Notamacropus eugenii: one gene and its partner. The protein of the gene in region 2 interacts with the protein of the main gene of each other region in a pairwise test. Links are inferred from orthologs where the notes say so. Each region holds a gene or a part of one and is shown on either strand. Other genes may lie near its edges.

The links. The genes of interacting proteins can lie anywhere in the genome.
Region 1: the proteins of EPN2 (region 2) and WBP2 interact in binary tests that used the Homo sapiens proteins (3 or more experiments, as listed by UniProt). The link is inferred for Notamacropus eugenii from reciprocal best matches to the Homo sapiens genes EPN2 and WBP2.

What each region holds. Positions count from the first base shown.
Region 1 is NC_092873.1:342,034,687-342,044,435, forward strand, and holds the start of WBP2 (WW domain-binding protein 2), read right to left. Parts: upstream 4,465-9,749; 5' UTR 4,283-4,464; coding exon 4,227-4,282; intron 1,767-4,226; coding exon 1,658-1,766; intron 1-1,657. UniProt on the Homo sapiens protein: Acts as a transcriptional coactivator of estrogen and progesterone receptors (ESR1 and PGR) upon hormone activation. In presence of estrogen, binds to ESR1-responsive promoters. Synergizes with YAP1 to enhance PGR activity.
Region 2 is NC_092874.1:319,845,393-319,856,043, forward strand, and holds the start of EPN2 (epsin-2), read right to left. Parts: upstream 3,989-10,651; 5' UTR 3,744-3,988; intron 2,869-3,743; exon of another isoform or gene 2,439-2,868; intron 1-2,438. UniProt on the Homo sapiens protein: Plays a role in the formation of clathrin-coated invaginations and endocytosis.

The DNA of each region.
Region 1 (9,749 bases), on a different chromosome or scaffold from region 2:
ATATTCACAAGAATTTCTTAAATACTTGCTATGAAGCAGAAACTATACTAAGCAACAAAGACCCAAAAGTAGATATGCAACAGTCTCTTTTTTCAAGGAGCTTATATTCTGTGGCACAACACCCAAATATACATAAAACATACACACACACACACACGTATGCAAAATACATGTGAAGAAATCATGTGAATATGTGCAAGGCCATAGCCCTCATGTAAGAGGTGACACTTGCATTGAACTTGGAAGGAATCAAGGGAGTCCTTTAGGGACGGCCTCTTCACAGGTCCTGGGACAGAAAATGGAAGGTCATGTGTGTGGTATGGGAAGAACACAAGACAGTTTGGTCCAAACCAAGCATGTGAAGGAAAATAACATATAACAAGCATAGTTAGGCTGGATTCAGACTGCGTCAAAGAGGAAGTTCTCATTTGATCACCAAGGCAAAAGAGTTCTTGTGCAAGGAGTGACACAGTCAGACCTATACTTCAGGCAGAGCACTTTTGGTTCATGGATTAAAGTGAGAGACCTTAGGCAAGAAGGCCAATTATATATGAAACAATAAAGCAACACATCCTGAGAAGGGGCCTGTGGAAAATACCCTTACTAGACTAGACAAGACAATATGAATCAGACACCTTTGAAAAGTGTAAATACAAATTTCTAGGTTCTGATAATGCAGTGGCACCTAAGTGTTCGGGGAACAGCATAGGTGAGTATGGAGAAAGGCTTCTTGGAAATGTTGAAGTAAACCTGCCATGTAATAGGCAAGGGGTGGAACACAGGCTGCTTTGGGGCCAAAGTGAACTTCCTAATCTCCTGAAAGTGAGGCAAACCACACCAACCTCTCAACTGTCTCCCTTCCATACTGTCCTGGGGCAACCAAGCAAATCACTGGGGAGCTCCAGAGTTTTAGAAATGTGTCTAAAATCCCTCTGTCTTGATTTGCCTATTTGTTTGGATGAAATTCAAGATGGTGACTTTGACCTTTCAATAGAAGGCCAATTTCATAATATGACATCTTCTACTCTGCTAAGCCATGACAATTAAGAATAACACAATGTCCCTTCCAAAAGACAACACAAATATGCCCCTTAGGCAACTAAAGGAGTCTTTTCCGGGGAAAACCTTTTGTTTCCTCTGGGGCTAATGAAACCCCAGTTTATTAAGCCTTTGGGAAGTAAGCAAGCTCTGTTTTTGCAACCTTGTATTTGTCACTCTACAAGGCACTGCTGGCTTATTTTCCTGGCTTGGGCATCTGTTGCTGTGTCACCATATTCATCATTTTGTACATTTTGCAGAGAAGTCTCAGGCTAACAGTTGCTCTGTTGAAATCAAAATGAAAACTACTCAGCCTACTCTAGGTCTATGTGAATTCAGCAGCTCTAGTCATCTGTATATAAATGGAAGATGGCAGTGTTGGAGTTTGTAGAAGCTTACTCAGCAGCTGTCAGTTCAGCTACCTGGAGACACAGCAGACTCCCAGAGTCCTGGGAGGAGCCTGTGACAAAGAAACACCATGGGAGATGGGAAAATAAAAAGTCATTAATGTTTCAGGGGCCATCCAACTCACTGACCTGTGTCAGTGTTGCTAGAAACCTGAGTCACTCTTCTAAAATGTCAGGTCTCAAAATGACAGGTAAGGACTCCAAAGACTTACTCTGTAAGGAGTCAAATAGAGGCTGCCTTTCTTGGTTCCTTTGAAGGCATCTGTCATGTGATCCATGTCACTGAAGGAGAGCTCCACATGATCGTAGGTCATTAGAATACTACAACGGGAAGGGAGCAAGAAGATTATAAGGGAGATTAGAGATATGACTTGAAGTGTGAATAAAAAGCTGTGTTATTTCCTTATATTCCTCTTCTCCTCCTGCATCCATCCCCCCCACCCCCACCCCTCAACAAGCAGTAGACTATAGAATCTCAAACATACCACTACCAGCTCCATCTGGAATAAGTGCCAGATAAGGAAGGAGAATTCCAATTTGCAAGGTTAAAGCTGATGCCACCACAGACAACGCTTTCACCCTAATCTTCAAAGGCAAGCTAGATGGCAACTCATTGTGTTTATTATAACATTCATGTTATGAATAAGGATTAGACTAGACCAAGGGTGGGGAACCTGTGATCTTCTAGGTCCTTGAGTGCAGCCTTTGACTGAGTCCAAGTTTTACAGAACAAATCCTCTTATTAAGGGGATTTGTTCTTTGAAGTTTGGATTCAGTCAAAGAACGACATTTGAGGGCCTAGAGGGTCGCATGTGACTGAATGTTCCCCACACCTGGACTAGAAGATCCATGAAATTTTTTCCAACTCTATAATTCTATGAAATGTCTAGTTGCAGGCATGATCACTTAAAGAAAATGTAAAACAGATAAATTATGAAATGATGATTAAAGGACTCACTAAAGTTTCCTTCAAATAATAAAAGAACAAAGGAGGTTCAAATCTTAACTTCAATTTATACACTAATTTCCTGGAATGAAACTAAAGAATTTATATAAAGCAAGGCATATCCTTATTTAACAGTCACAGAGCATTTAGAAGTGTGGGAGGCAAAGCGAGAGGTAGTCCTTGTCCCAGAAACTCCCACTGAGAAAGAATAAAAAACAGTCACAAGAGATGATACTGAAAGACAGCAACAGTGTTTCCTTGTTCCAAGAGCCTGTTTGGACACAAAAAGGTCACAAACCAATGAGCATCATGGGATATCTCTACTTACAAGATAAAAATCAAATGAACTATTCCTGGTGGTTGAGTCTGTCCTCCTACTCCAACCAATTAATCACTAAACATGCATTTATTAAGCTCTTACTTATCTACCAGGCACAGTACTAGATGCAGGGAATATACAGACAAAAAAACAAACCACAGCCCTCAAGCTATTTATATGTGCATGTCCATTTACAAAATAAGTGAGATACTTTGAACACTAACAGATGGGGGAAGGGACAGTCAGGAAAGGTTTGCACAGAAGATTAAATTTTTGTTGAATTTTGATTGAAACAAGTGATTCTAAGATAAAGTCCAGACTTGGGGGGCAAAATGTGCAACAGCATGGGGACACTAGTGTCCTGTACGGGAAATACCAAGAAGACCCAGGCTGAAAACCTTTCCACTTTTAAGAGGATGGGTGGAACAGAACTTGAAACAAATGCAGGTGGAGAAAATAGGTTAATTATCAGAAACAGGATAAGCCTGTTGGGTCCTATGCAGGGAAGGTGAAGAGGTCATCTTTTTGAAGTCTAAGCTCACACTTGAGCCAATCTGCTTCAACATGAGTTCTGGTCCCTAAGTACTTCTTTCCTCTTAACTGGCACAGTGGTCCTTTTGGCGTTGTAGGGCTATCCTGAAGCAGGTAGCGAGACATGCTCGAGGGGTGGCATCCTTTCCTATGTTGAAGTAGTCAAAGGAGAGGGGCAGAAATAGTGAACACAGAACCAGGGTTTTTTTTGGGGGGGGGGGGTTTGACTGCAATACCATTTATGGCATGACCACCCTAGCCTCCTCCAAATAGGAGGAAGTACTCGGTAAATTTAATGAGCTTCCATCCACATAGTGAAAGCAGGAGTCAAGTCTTCGCTGCCTCTCCCCAGCAGTGCAAGAAGTTGCGAGTCTTAGAGCAGAAAGGGGTGTGGGGGTGGGTGGGTGTTTTAGTAGGACGGCGGGTAGCAATCAGGAGTCTCCTTCCCGTCTAGTTCCCTTTTCTGGCCTTCATCATCTTCCACCTGAAGAATGAGGGAGGGGCCGGACGACCCCCGGCGCCGCTCTCAGCTCCGACGTCATTCTCCCTCGGCTCCGGGGGTGGGGAGGAGGAGGCTGGCCCAGCCGGGCCCGCAGTGGGGGAGGGGGGGTAAAGGGGATTCCAGCACCAGATGGGGCGCGGAGAGGCCCAACATTCCAGCCAAATCTCCTACGCGGCTACCCTCCCCCAAGCTGACGCTGTCCTTGGTCCCCAATCCCTCCCCAACGACGCCCACCCAGGAAGCTCAGTTCCCTCCCCTCCCCCAGCTGCTGCAGGCCTAGGCCCCTCTGGCAGTTCCAGGAGGGGTAGGTGACGGGGGAGGGCTAAGATTTCCCGCCCCCTCCTTCCTTCCTTCTGCCCAGGCCGTTACACTACCCTGACCCCACCTCCCTCGACGACTCGCCCCCACCCCAACGTCCTCCCCGCCCCCCTCCCTGTCCGCCCTTTAAGAAGCCTCGACGAATCCCTCCGCGGCGCCGCTCACTTCTCCGTGTTGTTGACAATCACTCCGCTCTCCGAGTGGTTCCTGTTGAGCGCCATGGCCGGGCCGCACAGACGCCCCGCTCCAGACCTCGGAGAACAGTGCGCCTGCGCTCCGTGCCCAGCCCCGCGTGTCGTCGTTCGGAATTCAGTTCCAGCCAATCACAGGGTGCGTATGCGGGCAGGAGAGGAACAACCACCTGACCCTCGAGTCACGTGAACGCGTTCGCCTGTCGTTTTCCTCCCCCTCCCCCCTTCTTCCGCCTTCTATCGCTTTCCTCTACCTCTTACACTTGCTCTTTTGTAGCAGTTTCATCACAAACAAGTCCGAAGACTACAGTTCCCGGCATGCAATGTTCTGGCCTCGCCCTAGACTGTAGGAGCTGTTGAACTTCCGGAGCACCCAAATGGCGAAGGACTTAGAGTTCCTAGTTTGGAAAGATGTATAGAAGAACTGGGAATATTGATTTCCAATCTGGGTCTTCCCCGTGCCCAAAAATCTCAAGTAATTCCTTGTTTCTTCTAGAGCTAGGTTTTTTTTAAATTGCTTTTTACCTCACCAGAATTTCAACCTTTGGTTCTCCCCCTCCCTCCCCTCAGGCACCCGGTGAACAACATTTTTAAAGAAAAAACAATGAGACGCCCTCCCCCCCAAATAAAACAAGCAAAATCAATACATGGAACAAGTCAGAAAGTGTATGTCACGCACCACCCTGGGGACTTTGCGTCCTGCGCAGGATTTGGGGGCGGGGGGGTAGGTCGAGTTCTCTAAGTTTTTGTGTGTGGACTCCTCGGAAGAGTGACCTTCAGTGCATACCATAGGTAAGATTACAAAGGAGATGATCAAAATCATCTTCAGACCAAGTTTACCGGTCCCAGGTTAGGAATCCTCGTCCTGGCGTCCAGGCCTAGCCCAGCCAGCGTTGAGGTTCAATCTGGGCCCATCGATCGCTGGCTGGTGAAGCGTCCCCGGACCTCCTCCTGCTTAGGCCTGGGCCGAGGCCTCCCAGCCTGCCTCTCGGGGCCTCAGCTTCCTCTTCGGCCGCGTGAGGGGCTCGGCGACCCCCGAGGTGGCTTCCAGCGTGGCATCTCCCCGCAGGAGCCCTCTGCCTGCCTAGGTCCCTGCATGGGAGGCTTTTTCCGAGGATCTGGAGGTGCCACAGGCCTGCCCCCGAATCACCTTAAATATTACTCTATTTGACATTATTTCCTATGTCTTCCTATAAGCTTTGCCAAAAGTGGATGTTTTGGGAGAAGGTGAGTGGCTTCATTTGATGTTCTATTTGCTATGTATTTTAAAATCTTTTCTGCGTGACGCTGAATGCACACCCTCAGTAAGTCCTTCCTTCCCATCACTTTTCAGTTGCCAAAGAAAATTCAGAGGATTTTGAATAGTTTTCCAGGAGCTCACCCACTTCCCTTTGTCCCAGCTAATGTATGAGACCTGGTGGTAGGAGCTTAACAAATGTTAATTCACTGAGTGATGAAGAAGATGCTGTTAAATGGCTGTGCTGGAAAGGCCTTGTAACCGTTTAAGCATCCTTTCCATACCATTTCCTCTCTGTAAGCCCTACCTGATGTCTTCCAAAACTGTCCATGGGTCAGGAAGTTACACAAACTCACACACACACGTCTAATGTATGTATGTCATCTGTGGAATTGTGAGAAGCACATGCCCATCACCTGCTGACAGACTATGTCACGTTGAATGGATAAATAGACTGCAGTGTAGCTGACTGAAAATTTTTTTTCTTTCTTTTTTTTTTAATATTTAACAATCACTGCCACACAATTGAGATTTTATCCCCCCCCACTACCCCCCTCCCTCCCCACGACTGCATACAATTCTGTATAGGTTCTACATATACTTTCCTATTGAGTACATTTTCACTATAGTCATGCTGTGTAGTCGGACTAAAATAAATGGAAGAAATCATATAACAAATCAAAACATGATTCACAAAAACATACACACACACAAACATGATCTGCTACATTCTGCGAATAACTTCCATATTTCTTTCTCTGAGTGTGGAAGGCATTTTGCCTTAGAAAACCACCATTGGGATTTTTTTTTTTTAAGAAGTTCTTGCGTTATTACTAAATTCCAAGTCTACCAGAAAAAACTCTCGCACACTGTGGTCGTTGCTGTGCACAAAGTTCTCCTGGTTCTGCTTGAAAATTCTTATAGCAGATCCTTGAGGGCAGGAATTGTCTGGTTTGACTGAACTTGTATCTTCAGCATTTGACACAATGCCTTACACACAGTGAATGCTTAATAAATCCTTTTTTATTCATGGATTTTTTTCATTCACTTTCTGGTTAGCCAGAAAGACATGAGAGATGGCTAGAATTACATACCAGAAACTCATTATCTTTTAAAACTAACTGGGAACAAATGTCCCAGCTACCAAATCCTAAAATATCTTTGAGAGGTCCACAGATAAAATATAGTGGAACCAGAGCATCATTACAGACTGATTGGTTGTCCACAACCACTTAGATATAACCTTTATACATAAACATCGAAGGACAGTGTTTTAAATAAATGTCATTTCTTTTGGGTCAGCCCTAGCTTAGTTCAGTCCACTGAGTAATTCAAGCTTGCGACTGAAATGCCATATTGTGTTCCTTATAATGCAACAAAAACAGATTTAAATACAATAAAATTAAAAGTATACAATTTGCTAAAATTAGATGCTGCTCTCCTCTGCATCTTCATTCTCCAGGATAATGCTGGATGAAAGCAATGGGAATTCCACGAAACCTCAGGAATATTAAGTATATGTAGGCTAGACTTCTTATGCCTCTAGCCGCCCAGACCAGCCAGATCTTGATCTTGCCTCTTTAAAGAGAAAACACACCAACCCTATGTAAAAATATTATTCCTATTACATTCCACCCCCTGGTAGCAAAGTCCTAAAAATCTTCACAGGAACTCTCTTCTGATGGGGTACAGACTCTGGGAACCTCCTTGAACTCTTCTTGAATCTTCCCACTTAATGGGGCTTTTCATACCCAAATCTGTTACCCTTAACCTAGCCTGGCCCTCCATTGTCTGTTGCCTCCAGATTGCTACTGGCTGCTTCCCATACTTGATCAGTTACCGCCCCCCTTCCATCAAGACCCTCCCTACCCCTCCTTTCATCACCCCTGACTACTAGACCACCCCCAGAATTCCTCCCACAGTCTTTCTGTATATAAGATCCCTCTTACCTCCATAAAGGTGCTCAGATTCAATCTGGCTCTGATCCAGTCTTGCTGAGGTTCTATCTGGCCTACCATCAATACAAGCCTTACAAATGGTGAGGCTTAAGAGTCAACCCAATATGGTGAATCTTTAATAAACTTTGTTTTACTTTGGTTGAAAGAAGGCTTGGGCTGAATTCATTCAGGCAGGGCCCGGGTTGTCAGTATTTTGGGGTCCCAAGCACTCTAAACCTCAACAAATGTTTCCCTGACCTCAACACTACCACTTATATGTCTGCAAGGTTGTTACTAAAAAAAGCTGGCTTTGGGGATATGAAAAGCCTAGCAAAGCTTAGGAAACACTTGTTGACCTGAAAACTTGGTTAAAGAAAAGGCAACAGGCTAAATGCATACATTTTATGATTTAATTAATTAATTGATCAATTCCCTATTAAAGAAAATGGTAACATAATGCATTATGGAGCCAGAAATGTTCTGGCTACTGATACAAAGAATTGGGCAGGCTTAAATATGTTTTAGGACAAAGAAGTGTTCTGTGTCCTTCAGATTTATGATCTCCATAAGTGACTAACTAGACATTAGAAAGGAATTTCTTAATTGCATAGGTTGTAAATACAATAAGATAACAGAGTTTGACAAAGTTTCACATAGAAATTACCACCCAAGATGTCTGTGTTTTCTTTACCATTAACATGCCATAACATAGGATATGTCTACAAATGTTAAGATATGGAAAACGTCCCATTATTCAAGATAGTGTCTTAGGTTAAAGGTCTCTTAAGGAATGTTAAGTCAGCCCTGGCAGGCTTTTGTTGACATAGGAAGAGGCATTCTCTGAGTTTGCTTCAGAGAGAACAAAGAGATTATTCCAAAATTTTATATTAAACATTATCAGTATCTATCAGGGAGTAACTAAGCACCCTGACATACACAGGTGGGCCTGCTATCACAGGTTCTTTAATCTGCATTTCTAAAAGGAAAGGCAACTTTTGAGAGGTTAACAATCTCCTTTAATCAAGCACATATATCATTCCCCTAGTTCAGGGAAAAAAATCAGCACCCTGAACTTCAGAGAAAATACAGAGAAATCAAAGATCAACAGACATGGTTTCCAGCTATCTGACCATAACCAATACATATATCACAAATCAACAGATATATCCTACTGTCTGACCATAGTTACCAGAGAGGGAAGCACCAACATCTGGGTTTTCAAAGCCAGGGGGCTCCTTAGTGGCGGCCCAGAGTCTCCTCTGACCAAACAAACACTTCCAGTCAGTAAACCCCAAAGTAAAATCTAATCCTCAAAGTATTTATACCCTTTTTAGAGCCAGAGGGCATCACAACCCTTGAGAACTAGTGCCTCATTAATAAAAGGTGTGGGCCTTCCTACAAAGCTTCCCAAGCCCATAAGGACTGGGGAAGATCTTCTTTAATCACACTATTCAGTCAGAGGCACTTTATACTAGAACAAAAACAGCAAAAGATCCCACTTTGCTTGCCATCACACTCCACCCTTCCAGGATTCTTGGCCTTACAATCTAAATGACTATGGATCCTGGAACAAATAGAGGCATTATACTTCTTGATTATACTAAAACAAAAACAGCAAAAGATCCTACTTTGCTTGCCTTTACACAGGGGCAGGCTTTGAACTCAGGTCTTCCTTGTTGTAAATTGGTTCAAACATTTGGAAAAACAATTTGGAGCTATTATAGAAAAGTTACTACACTGTATATACCCTTTGACCCAACTATCTCACTCTTGGGCATATGCCCCAAGGAACTCAAAGGCAGAGGGAAAGTTCTCAAATACACTATGTCTCAGAGATCTCAGTGCAGCTTTAAATTTTAATAACTATTTATAGATATTGTAAATAGCTATAATATGTTATAAATAAATATATAAACAGTTATAAATGCATAATATTCAACTAATATGTAAAAATAACATAGTAAGTAGCTATTTGTAGCTACTAAAACTTAAAACTGCGCTAAGACTTTTGGGGGATCCTGTATGATGTTGTTCAGTTGTTTCAGTCATATCTGACCCTTCATGACTCCATTTGGGCTTTTCTTGGCAAAAATACTGAAGTAGTTTGCCTTTTCCTTCTCCAGCTCATTTTATAGATGGGGAAACTGAGGTAAATAGGGTGAAGTGACTTGCCCAGCTAGTATGTATCTCAGAATCAAATTTGAACTCGGGTCTTCCTGATTCCAGGCTCAGTGCTCTATCCACTTCACCACCTAGCTGCCCATCTGTATATAAAAATATTTGTAGCAGCACTTTTTTTTGTGCTGGCAAAAAACTATAGACA
Region 2 (10,651 bases):
GAAATGGGAATAATAAGCACTCACCACATAGAGCTTTTACTTTTTTTGAGATTAAAATGAAGTGATATATGAAGTACTTTACAAGTCTTAAAATCGTATATAAATATAAAATAATAAATTATTATTAATGTACTAAGTCACCTACTCTCCAGAACATTTTAAGACAACATTCTTCAACATTACACTAATATTAATGGCTAACAACAATATAGATCTTACTATGTGTGACACTGTGCTAACTAAGCATTTTACAATTATTTGATTCTCACAGCAACACTGGGAGACAGGTATTATTATTACCTCTATTTTATAGATAAGTAGACTGAGACAAACTGAGGTTAAGTGATGTACTCAGGGTCACACAGCTAGTAAGCATCAGAGGCTAGATTTGAATTCAGGTCTTCTTGGCTCAAGGCCTGATGCTCTCTCCAATTCACCACCTAGCTGCCTCTCATAACAAACTGGTACAGTGAAAAGAGCTATGAAATATTTTATAGGTAGCAAAAAAATCCCCTATACCTGTTTGCTAAGTGGCATAGCAACCTGATCTCTAACTGGACTCTGAGTAGAAGCATCTGAGTTTAAGTCCTGCTTGCAACACGTTAGCTAGGTAAACTAGACAAGCCTTTAACCACTCTCAGCTTTATTTTACTGATCTGTAAAATGGGGATAATAGTAACTACTTTTATAAAGTTGTAAAAAATCAAATAAGGTAATAGATGTAAGGTGCTTCGCAAATCTTAAAAGTGCTATACAAAACCAGTAGTAATTATTTATTATTGTTTTGAATGAATCCCTAAGAAAAGTAAGGCAAAGTTGTTAGCATTTTAGCATTGGTACAGATCTGAAATGAAAGAGGCTAATACACTACTAGAATTTCTGGAACCAAATCCCAAGGTGGTTTTGGTGCACATCTGTGATTTCACTGGTATAGTGAGTTCCAAATGAGAAAACTCCTTTCACACATTCAGAAAAGCCACTGTCATGTAACTTGCTATCTATCTTAAGAAGGACTCTAGAGCACTGAGAGGTTAAGTGGCTTTCCCTGGGTGGCACAGGAACAGGTATGTGTCCAGAGTTAATGCTTGAACCTAGATTTTTTTTTTAAACTCTGCTGTCTGCCAGCCTGCTACTCTATTTCACAATGCTGTTATTTCCTCAAATTGATTTTTAAAATAAGCCTTTTCAATATTAACCTAACTGCTCCTCATCTGGAGTTTCATTTGCCTGTCAGCTGCCAGAAACCCATTTAATTCTGGCCATCCAATTCACAATTTATGATCTTAAACTTCTAAATTATTCCCACTGAAATGACTATGACTATTTCCACCGAAATCTAAGCTGTTTGGTACAGGGGTGAAAGGGCTTAGGTTTAGAGTCTAAGACCCTAATAGCTCTAAACATATGGAACCATGTAAATATGATAAAATACATGTCCTATACACGAAGCCTGGGCATTATTAGTTCCAGCACTGTTCCCATCTATGTGAAACTCATCTATAAAATGAAGGAAGTAGACTAGATAAATTCTCAGATGCCTTCCAGGTCTGAAATTCTAAGATTTTATTACTCTAAGCTGCCTTAGGACACTTGCAAGGCAGCCTTTAACACTTAATAGCCTAGTGACCAGGACAAGTCATTCGCTCTAAGCAATACTCAGAAGCTAAATTACTGAGTTTTCAATCTTCATTTTTCATGGGTGAAGACAATTCCCTATGCTAAATGAAATCAAAAGATCACAGAATTGGAGATGGAAGGGGCTAGTACACTATTTTAATCCCTTGCTTTAGAAAGGGACTGATGGCCAGAGGTTAAATAATTTGATATAACCCCAGTTCCCTCTCCGCTATGCCATGAAGCAAACACAGGTGCAGACCTTCCCATTCCCTTCACTCCCAAAACAATAAACTGGATACAGACTTTGTGTAGTTGAAATTTATACTTCCCCTTATGAAATGTTACAAATGCTTCACTTAACGCCAGAAAAGCAAAATGTTTAATATGATAAAGTGAAAAAAATTTAAAAATCATTTGAACTACTTATCATTCATTACATTAATGAAGTCATAACACTAAAATACTTGATTTGCCACAGAAGACACTATTATACATAAAGTAAATATATTTCTACAAAGGAGCCTTTTTCAGACTTAGTTAAATGAAGTCAGATCTTATAATTTTTTAAAGTTTTAAATATATTCTAATACTTCAAGTAGTTGGGCCTAACTAATCTCACTTCAAGTGGCTGGGCCTAACTAATCTCCTTACAAGACTCTTACAAAAAAGATACTTGGCTCTGAAGAGCGCATGCATTTCATAAATCTTTGCCAATGAATGAAAGTGACGTTCCATTTCTCAATGGCACAGAAAATTAAAACTTTAAGAGCGAAACAACTCTCCACAAAACTCTACTGAAAACTGTAGAATGACAAATTTACCCAGTAGATTCAATTCATGACTTCTGTGACAAAATCCCAAAAAGAACAGCCGCTGACTGCATTCCACGGTTCGCAGATTATAATCAGATTTTCTCTTGGATGAGTAAGAGATTATAAGAAATTTGAGAAGCAGTATTTAAACCAGGTCAACGTTGAGTCAAACACAGATGAAAACTTCATCAGCAATACAAACCGAAAAAACGATACAGACATTTTCCGCGTCATTTAGACCCCTTTTATCACTGGGATAGATAGAATTTCTGAAGAACTTCCGTTATCTGGTGGTAAATGGGGGCGCAGAGATTGTATAAACTCAATCCCCTCTCACCCCCACCGAGAGCCCAGCCCTCATTTAACCCAGAGTTTCCACCGTTGGCCTTTCAGAGGCAGGGGTGAACAGACTAAAGCCTTGGTTCTCACCTTCTTCTACGCACCTGGAGTAGAAGTGCGATACACCTGGGCGACCACCCCCTGAACACGCCCAGTAATGACAACACCTAACATTCACGTAATATTCTCAAGGCTTGCTTTCCATCTTAAATCTTTGATCCTGAGCACTAGGATAAAGCACCAACTCCAAAGACTCCCAGGTGCCCGTAAACTGTTAGCTTCCAACGCCTGGGTGAAGAAGAATGTGCTCGGGGAGAGCCGCGGAGACGCAAAAGCCCCGCGCAGAAACACTCTGGGCAGGGAACAACCCAAAAGGGGGTTCAACACCCCCAAAATCTGCCGGCACCTCCTGCACTCCGCAGCCTTCTCCAGCAGTCCGGGCTCACCTCAGAGCCTGGGCTGCCATGATCTGCCAAAAAGGGAAGGAAAACACGGGGCCCCGGGTCACTGGGGGAGGGAAGGGGACCCCCGAAAGAGGACTGAACCCAAGGCGGGCAGTCCCGGACCCCGACCGAGCTCGCGCTCACACCCGCACTGGGAACAAAAGGCCTCCCCAACCCCGGGGCTGCAGGGTGACTCCAAGCGCAGGGGAGGGGTCGGGGCTGGGGAAGCGGCCCCCGCGGCGGCCCGGCCCGGGAGCCCCAGGGACGCCAGGGGAGGCAGGGGGGGTGCAGGAGGGAGGGGCCCCCTCCCACGCCCCCACCGCCGCCCCGCGTCGGGGGAGGGGCTCGGGCCTGCTGGGCTGCCCCGTCCTGCCCACCCCTGGGCAGGGCGAGGGCGTTGGCGGCTCCTCGAGCCCCGGCCCCCGCAGCGGCCGAGCACCGGCTCCGGGGCCCGGCTCCCGCTCTGCTCCCGCAGAAGGAGACGGCCGAAAACCTCCCGCCGCCCCCTCCTCCATCGCCGCCCCAAGCTCACCTTCTTCTTCTCTTCTCCTCCTCCTCCGGTCCCCCCCCGCGCCGGAAGCCCAGGGGCCCTCAAGTACAGGGCGCAGGGGGAGGAGGGGACGAAGGGAGGGAGCCGGAGCCTAGTCGGGGGCCACCCGCCCAGCTCGCTCGCAGCGACGGCGTCTGCCGAGGTTTGACACCCACACACCATCCAACATGGCGGCCGGGAGGGGGCGCGCCTGCCTGCGTGCGCGCATCCGTGCGTTCCGCGCCCCCTCCCCCCGCCTCCCCCGCTCCCCACCCGCCCCCTCGAGCAAAGCGAGTCGAGCGGATTCGCGCGCCAGAGCGTGCGCGCGCCTGCGCGAGGACGCGCTCCCTTCCCCCCGCCCCCGGGCCCCCTAACCCCAACCGCCTGGGTCGGGCCCCCTCCCGCCTCCTCCTCGCGGGGGGTGGAGGGGCGCCGTGCGCGAGAACCCCGCCTCTCTCCCCTCCAGAGCTCCTGGGCCGGGACGGGGGGCGAAGATCAGGAGCTGCCCGACCCCGAGACACACTGACTTCCGAGGAAAAGAGGACCCCCGCAACCCCACGCCCCCAGCCTCCTCCCACGACTTGGCTTTTAGCCGCTGGGCCGCAGCTGCCGTCCTCCGCCCCGGGCAGGCACCACCCCTTTTCCCGAGGTCGTGCCTCCCTCCGCGGGGCTGACGGGGGCAGTGGGGGGCTCCTTTCTGGTTTGGTTCCCACGCACCACGCCCATTTCCCACACCGGGAAACTGAGGCGCGGCCCCCCACAGATCCGAAGGCAAGTCCCAGGCACCGCCGGGCGTCCACCCCCTCCCTCTAACCTGCGTGTCCCCTAGGATCACCCGTGGTCTTTTCCCCGTTGCATTTCATCCGCAGCCCCGAACTGACCAAGCTTTCCTTATCCGAGGAAGGAGCCTCTCCCTCGGATTTGGCCCTCGGGACCGGGCTCCAGGCACTTAGCTTCCTCCGGCCTCAGTTTCCTCGTCTTTCAAAGGAGCTGGGCTTAGCTTCGGTCTCAGGCCCCGCGGGGCTCTAAATCTACGACCCGCAGAGTCTACTATTCATCGAGAATTCATTAATTAAGCACTTACTGAGTGCTGAGCATTGGGGACACCGTACCCCCTAAAAGCTGTCTTTACACGCCTTTGAGTAGCTTTGATTTCGCTAGTGACTCGGTCGTATTAAGGTGTGGGGCGCTGAGGCGTTGATTAGGCTTGTGCTCAGATAAATAGGAATACAAAGTAGCATGTGTCAAATGATTCCAGGCGCTCGATACAAAATATCCAGATGAGTTCGGATGAGGAAGGAGAGGTCTGACGGCTGGGGCAATTGGGGAAATCTAGCAGGAGCTGTCCATCTTATAGTGGTGGAAAAAGGGAAAAAGCAACCTCTCTCCCCTCTTTTCTGCCCACAGTGCCTAAGAGCCATTTTTGTTCCCCACCCCAAATCCAAGGGTTAGTATTTCATAGTGATGATGATAATCTGACTGACCTTATAGGTGCCTTACATATTCTCACTTGACTCTAACAACAATCTTGTAGGGTGCTATTATTATCTCTATTATGCAAATGAGGAAACTAAGTGGTTAAGTGATTTACCCTAGGTGTTGCCTAGGTAAGTATCTAGATCAAGTTAGGAACCTGGCTCTTCCCGATTCTAGTGGTCTTCTACATCACACTGCCTCTCAAACATGAAAAGCACCCCTTCTCTGGCAGATCACATATGCCTGTCTGTCAGCCGCCACCTTGACAGTCTCTTCGACAGCAAGATTTTGGTCTTATCTATATTTCCTGTGAGGCAACTAGGTGACAGAGTGGATAAAGTACCCAGGCAGGAGTCAGGAAGATTCATTTTCCTTCATGCAAATCTGACCTCAGACACTAGCTGTGTGACCCTGAGCAAGTCACTTAACCCTATTTGTGTTAGTTCCTCATCTGTAAAATGATCTGGAAAAGAAAATGGTAAAGTACTCTTTGCCAAGAAAACTCCAAATGGGGTCACAAAGAATCAGACATGACAACCAGTATTTTCTACTCCCTAGTAATGCTGTCAATTAACATCCTAGAGAAGCTACACTATCCAAGGCAATGAGTTAGACTGAGGAGGATACAGAGAAACCTGCTCTCTACAAATTTGCAATTTAAATATGCAGATAATAAGCAGGAAATTCTAGGAACCCAAAGAGGTAATAAAGATTGTAGAAACTAAGAGAACAGAATGATACTGTTGGGTCAAGGTGGTTAGAATAAGTTTTAATTAAATGCATTAATTCTTTCAACAAGTGTAGATCTAACCGCCTTCTATGTACAAGGCACTATGTTCAGCTGGATAGAATACAAAGAGAATTTAAGTCCCTGCTTTTAAGGAGTTTACAGTGAAGTGGGGTACAGGGAGAAAAGCTATATGAAAATAATTGTAATTCAAGGCAGGATATGTTAAACACTGTCAGAAAGTTACAGAATGTTATGAGATTTCAAAAGAAAGAAAAAAAAATCACTTCTGGCAGTGGGTCAAAGAAGTCCTCCTGGAGAGAACAGGCCTTGGTGCATGGGTAGGATTACAAAAGTAGAGAAGAAGAGGGGTGGGGCATTCCAGACTGATGTCAAAATAATAATTCACATTTATATAGAATGTTAAGGTTTTCAAAGTATTTTACATACATTATCTCGTATGATTCTTACAGATGTCCTTACTTTAAAGTTGAGGAGAAAGGTTTAAGGGAATTAGAGTGAAGGTAGGGCTGGAAAGGTAGGTTGGAGATCATGTTAAGGGAAAGGCTTTCAATTCCAAGATTTTATGAAGTCTGATGAATAAAGAACCACTGAAAATTTTTAAACTAGAAGTAAGATTGCATAATGAGGGCTCTGCATTTCTTAATGTTTCCATAAGCCTCTGGGCTGGGAAATGCCATTTTGAGGGAAATTAACTATGAGCTGGTAGATAAGTGCCTTTGAATGTTTTAAAAACATTTAATAATACCATCAGTCTGAAAGTATGTGTACTATTATTAAATATCCGAATGTAATCCATCTAAAATGTGGAGGTCCTTATCCCAACTCACATCCACACTTTTGAGTTGGTTGTCTAGACGGCTGGCCACATCTTCCCCCTTCAGGGCTGTAGGAATAACCATAAAAGATATGGGGTATCCTAATACTATCAGTTTGAGCCTGCATTCTAGTGTGTTATTTCTAACATCAATTACCAGTGCCAATTAATATCTTTTCAACATCAATTCCATTGATTATTGCTGCATATCATTTGACATTATTATCAATTAGCTTTAATATAGAGACATTAGCTAAGAAGATGTAGTAAGAGTAGAAGTTACAAATACCTCTTCCTGAACCAAGGCCATGTTTTCCACTATATCACCTCAGTCTCACTACAAAGTACTCATCCCACCAAGTTTACTTCTAAATGTTTAAAGTTACTCCTTTACTTGCCAAGTAACCCTTGAGCGTGACATCAATCCACTTTCTGGGCTGGGGCTTTCAAGTCATTCCTCAGGGTTGTACGCTTCACTAGGGTTAGCTTGCCAGCAAAATTTGTAATGTTCCTGGACCTCTTTCTCGAGGCTCATTCTTCTGATCTTTCAAAACTAACAACACCAAAGGTATCCATGATAGTATCATCTAAGCTGAAAAAAATAGATCTAATAGAGATAGAATTTACAAAAGGACCAGATGCTGATAGGCCACAGCCTGGATGAGAGAGGGTCCACAGCTCTTGCCACCACAGCAGAAAGAGGTCCATTTAGTTGCTCAGTGCCTTTTTGTATGCACACTCAGTTCCAGCTCAGAAGTTGTTAGGGGTTCATCTGACACCAGTACCATGTTAGTTGTTTCAGTGTCAGGATGCAAGAAGGCATTTGTAAGTCACTGAATGGTTAACAAAAGGAGGTTTACTTAGACCTGATATAACAAGGATATGTAACTTGTAGCGCTCAGCTACTACAGATGTGGCCCCTTTCCCAATGCCCATATAATCTACAGGGAAGTTGTGGTTAGTCTCTTGGTCTTCAGAACTATACCAAATCAAAAAGGTCCCCTCATTGGGTGGTTTGGGGAGAGAAAAGGAGCTTTTATTCCCCTAGGTGACCAGGAAGCCAAGCCAACACAGCCAGAGGCCATTGGGAAGCTGGATCAATGGAAGCAGAGCTTGAGCTTTGCCCCACTCCTGAGACAATCAAGTCTTAGCTTTGTCCCTTTTTCCTAGTCAAGTTAGGCGAAAGGATATGGGGAACCTTGCTAGACAATGGACCTGTCACAACAGCCCATCAAAAGGCCACATGATAAGTGGACAAGAAACATCCTTAGAAGACCTTCGAGTACTTCATATGAAAGATTACATCATGCAGAGCATACTGTGCAAGTTCATAAGGACTAAGGTCTTCCTGACCAGCCCCTTCTTACACTAACTTCCAAGGAACAGTTTGCACATTACAGGAATGTTGTCAAATACATAAAGAACTAGAAATCTAAAGCAACAAATGAAGTATTTAATTTACTTCCCTCTTTTTTGTGTCACTCCTCCTTATCACGTGTGTAACAATAAAGACTGATGTTGGGGCACTTACATCTTTGCTCTCTAATAAGGTGCCTTATCCATTCTAGACACCGTCATGCTTAAACCAGGTTTGGTCTTGGGGCGATCCCAGGCCATTAGAGATAAGAATCAAACTCTTTCTTGAACTCTCAAGATCTTTACATAGCCACTCTGCAACCTGGGGCAGGGTGGGAAGGAATCACTTAAAATAGGTCTATTTAGTCATTCATCCAGATGAACTGTTGCAGAGTGAAGTAAGTAAAGCCAAGAAATTATATACAGTGACTACAACAATGTAAAAAGAAAGAGCAAAGACATAACCATTAAAATCAAAAGTAAATGTTGGAAAATTATAAAGAAAAGCATCAATCAAAATAGATATGACAAGACATTCCCACTCCACTCCTTTCTAGAAGGGACAGGTTCACAAGTGTGTACACTGCATATATTTTCAGACTTTTTCAATGATCAATAAACCAGCTATGCTGGCTTTATTTCTCTTCTTTTTTTCTTTGTCTTTAAAAAAGGCTATTTGTTCACAGAGTTGAGTCTTGAAGAAAATGAAAAGGTTAGGTTGGTAGGAAGAGTAAAAAATGTGGGGGGCATAACATACATGAGCAAATGTGTAAAAGATGCACAAGCTCTTGCCTGACCACTTTGTTGAAGTGAGGAGGGTGTTTTTCCCCTTGTCCAATTTTAACCGAGAAAAACCAAAATAACGTTTGTCCAACCAAATATCTGTGGCTCAGACAGTTACTGACATTTCCAGACCAAGTGATAGTTTTTCCCAATCCATCTGAACCAATACAAGGCAGGAAAGGAAGCCATGAAGACCCAGATATGAATGCTTCTTATGAATAACTTCTTATGGCTACCATTCTCTAAATTCTGTTTCTGGTTGGATTGGAAGGGTAAGAGTGATTGTAAAAAATTGAGAGAAGTGCCCCAACCATCACTTCTGTGAACCTCTTGACTCTTTCAACTGGAGGTAACATGTCATAGGAGAAAAAAGCTGAGGAATGAAGAGACTAGGATTATTCCCCTTCTTAATAAAACAAGCTGGGTGACCTTGGGAAGGTCACTTTCCCTCCTTTGGTCTTGATTTCTTCCTCTATGAATTGAGGGGCTAATTTAGATTCCCTTTGGGGTTCCTTCCAGTATGTGATTCCTAAAAAGTCTCTTGAATCTTAAATGTCCTGGTCTTGGTAATACTAGAATCAGTCTTCCTGGTATTATGAGATCTGACTCAAATTGCTTCAAGGCAGATTTGGGTACCATAGGTCATTGCAACTGTTTGGCAGATCAGACTCAGATTTTAGGTCATAGATTATCAAATCTTTATCTATCTGATATAAGATTTTTCTCTTGCAGCACATGGTAGCATTGGGTAAAGTCAATTTCAATTTACCAATTTATTAAATGGGGTATCACTTGTCATAAATGTGGTAAGATCATATAAATGAGATGATATTAGAAAAGCTTTCCATACTGCTTGATAAAGGAATTTCTAGACCAGATCAAATGAAGGACTTTCTTTAGAGCAGAGATTCTTGAACTTTTGAGTTCATGTCAGAACATGTCATGTCAGTTCTTTGTCAGATTGGTGAAGTCTATGAACTCCTCAGAATACCATCCTTTAAATAATTGCAGTAGATGCTAAATTTCAGTTAGAGTTTAATGAAAATAGATATTTTTCCCATTCAATTTAATAGAATCCCTTAAATCTATCCATAGACCCCTTAGACAACCTTGAAAAATCAGGTTAAGAACCACTGATTTAGGAAGGTCATCAATTCCATTTTCAAATTGCTCCTGGTAACTGTTTTATAATACCCTCGGGCTTTTGTAGTTATAGTGTTAATTAAATTGATTAATAAATTAATAATTATAATTGGTATTTACAATAGTACTTTCTGAAGTAATGCAGAACATCCTATAAATGGTGTCTCATTTATCCTAAGCTTTCTCATCATTTCTCCCTGGGGCATTATTTATTGCATGTAAAAACATTAAAATCCACTTAAATGCCTTCTCTGAAGTTTTTCTCTGATAGTTCTCCATCCTAGCAGGAAGACAAACCAGAGTTCTTGAAGGCAACGCAAGAAGAACATGAGCTTTGACAGGTTCCATCAAACAGAAAAAGATTTGTATGTGACCTTATCAGAGGTTTCACATGTGCCACCTGAGGAAGGACGAGCTGATTCACTGTGTTGGGCTCCAGGGTAATGAATTACTTAGACACAGCAATTCTCGAAGACAGGTAGGAAAGGGTTCTGCATTGGTGGGGAGAGTACTCACAGCTCCATGAAGTATTCATGTATTAACATATAACTTCTAATCTCGTAAATAATTTCTATTCCTTCCTGGTGA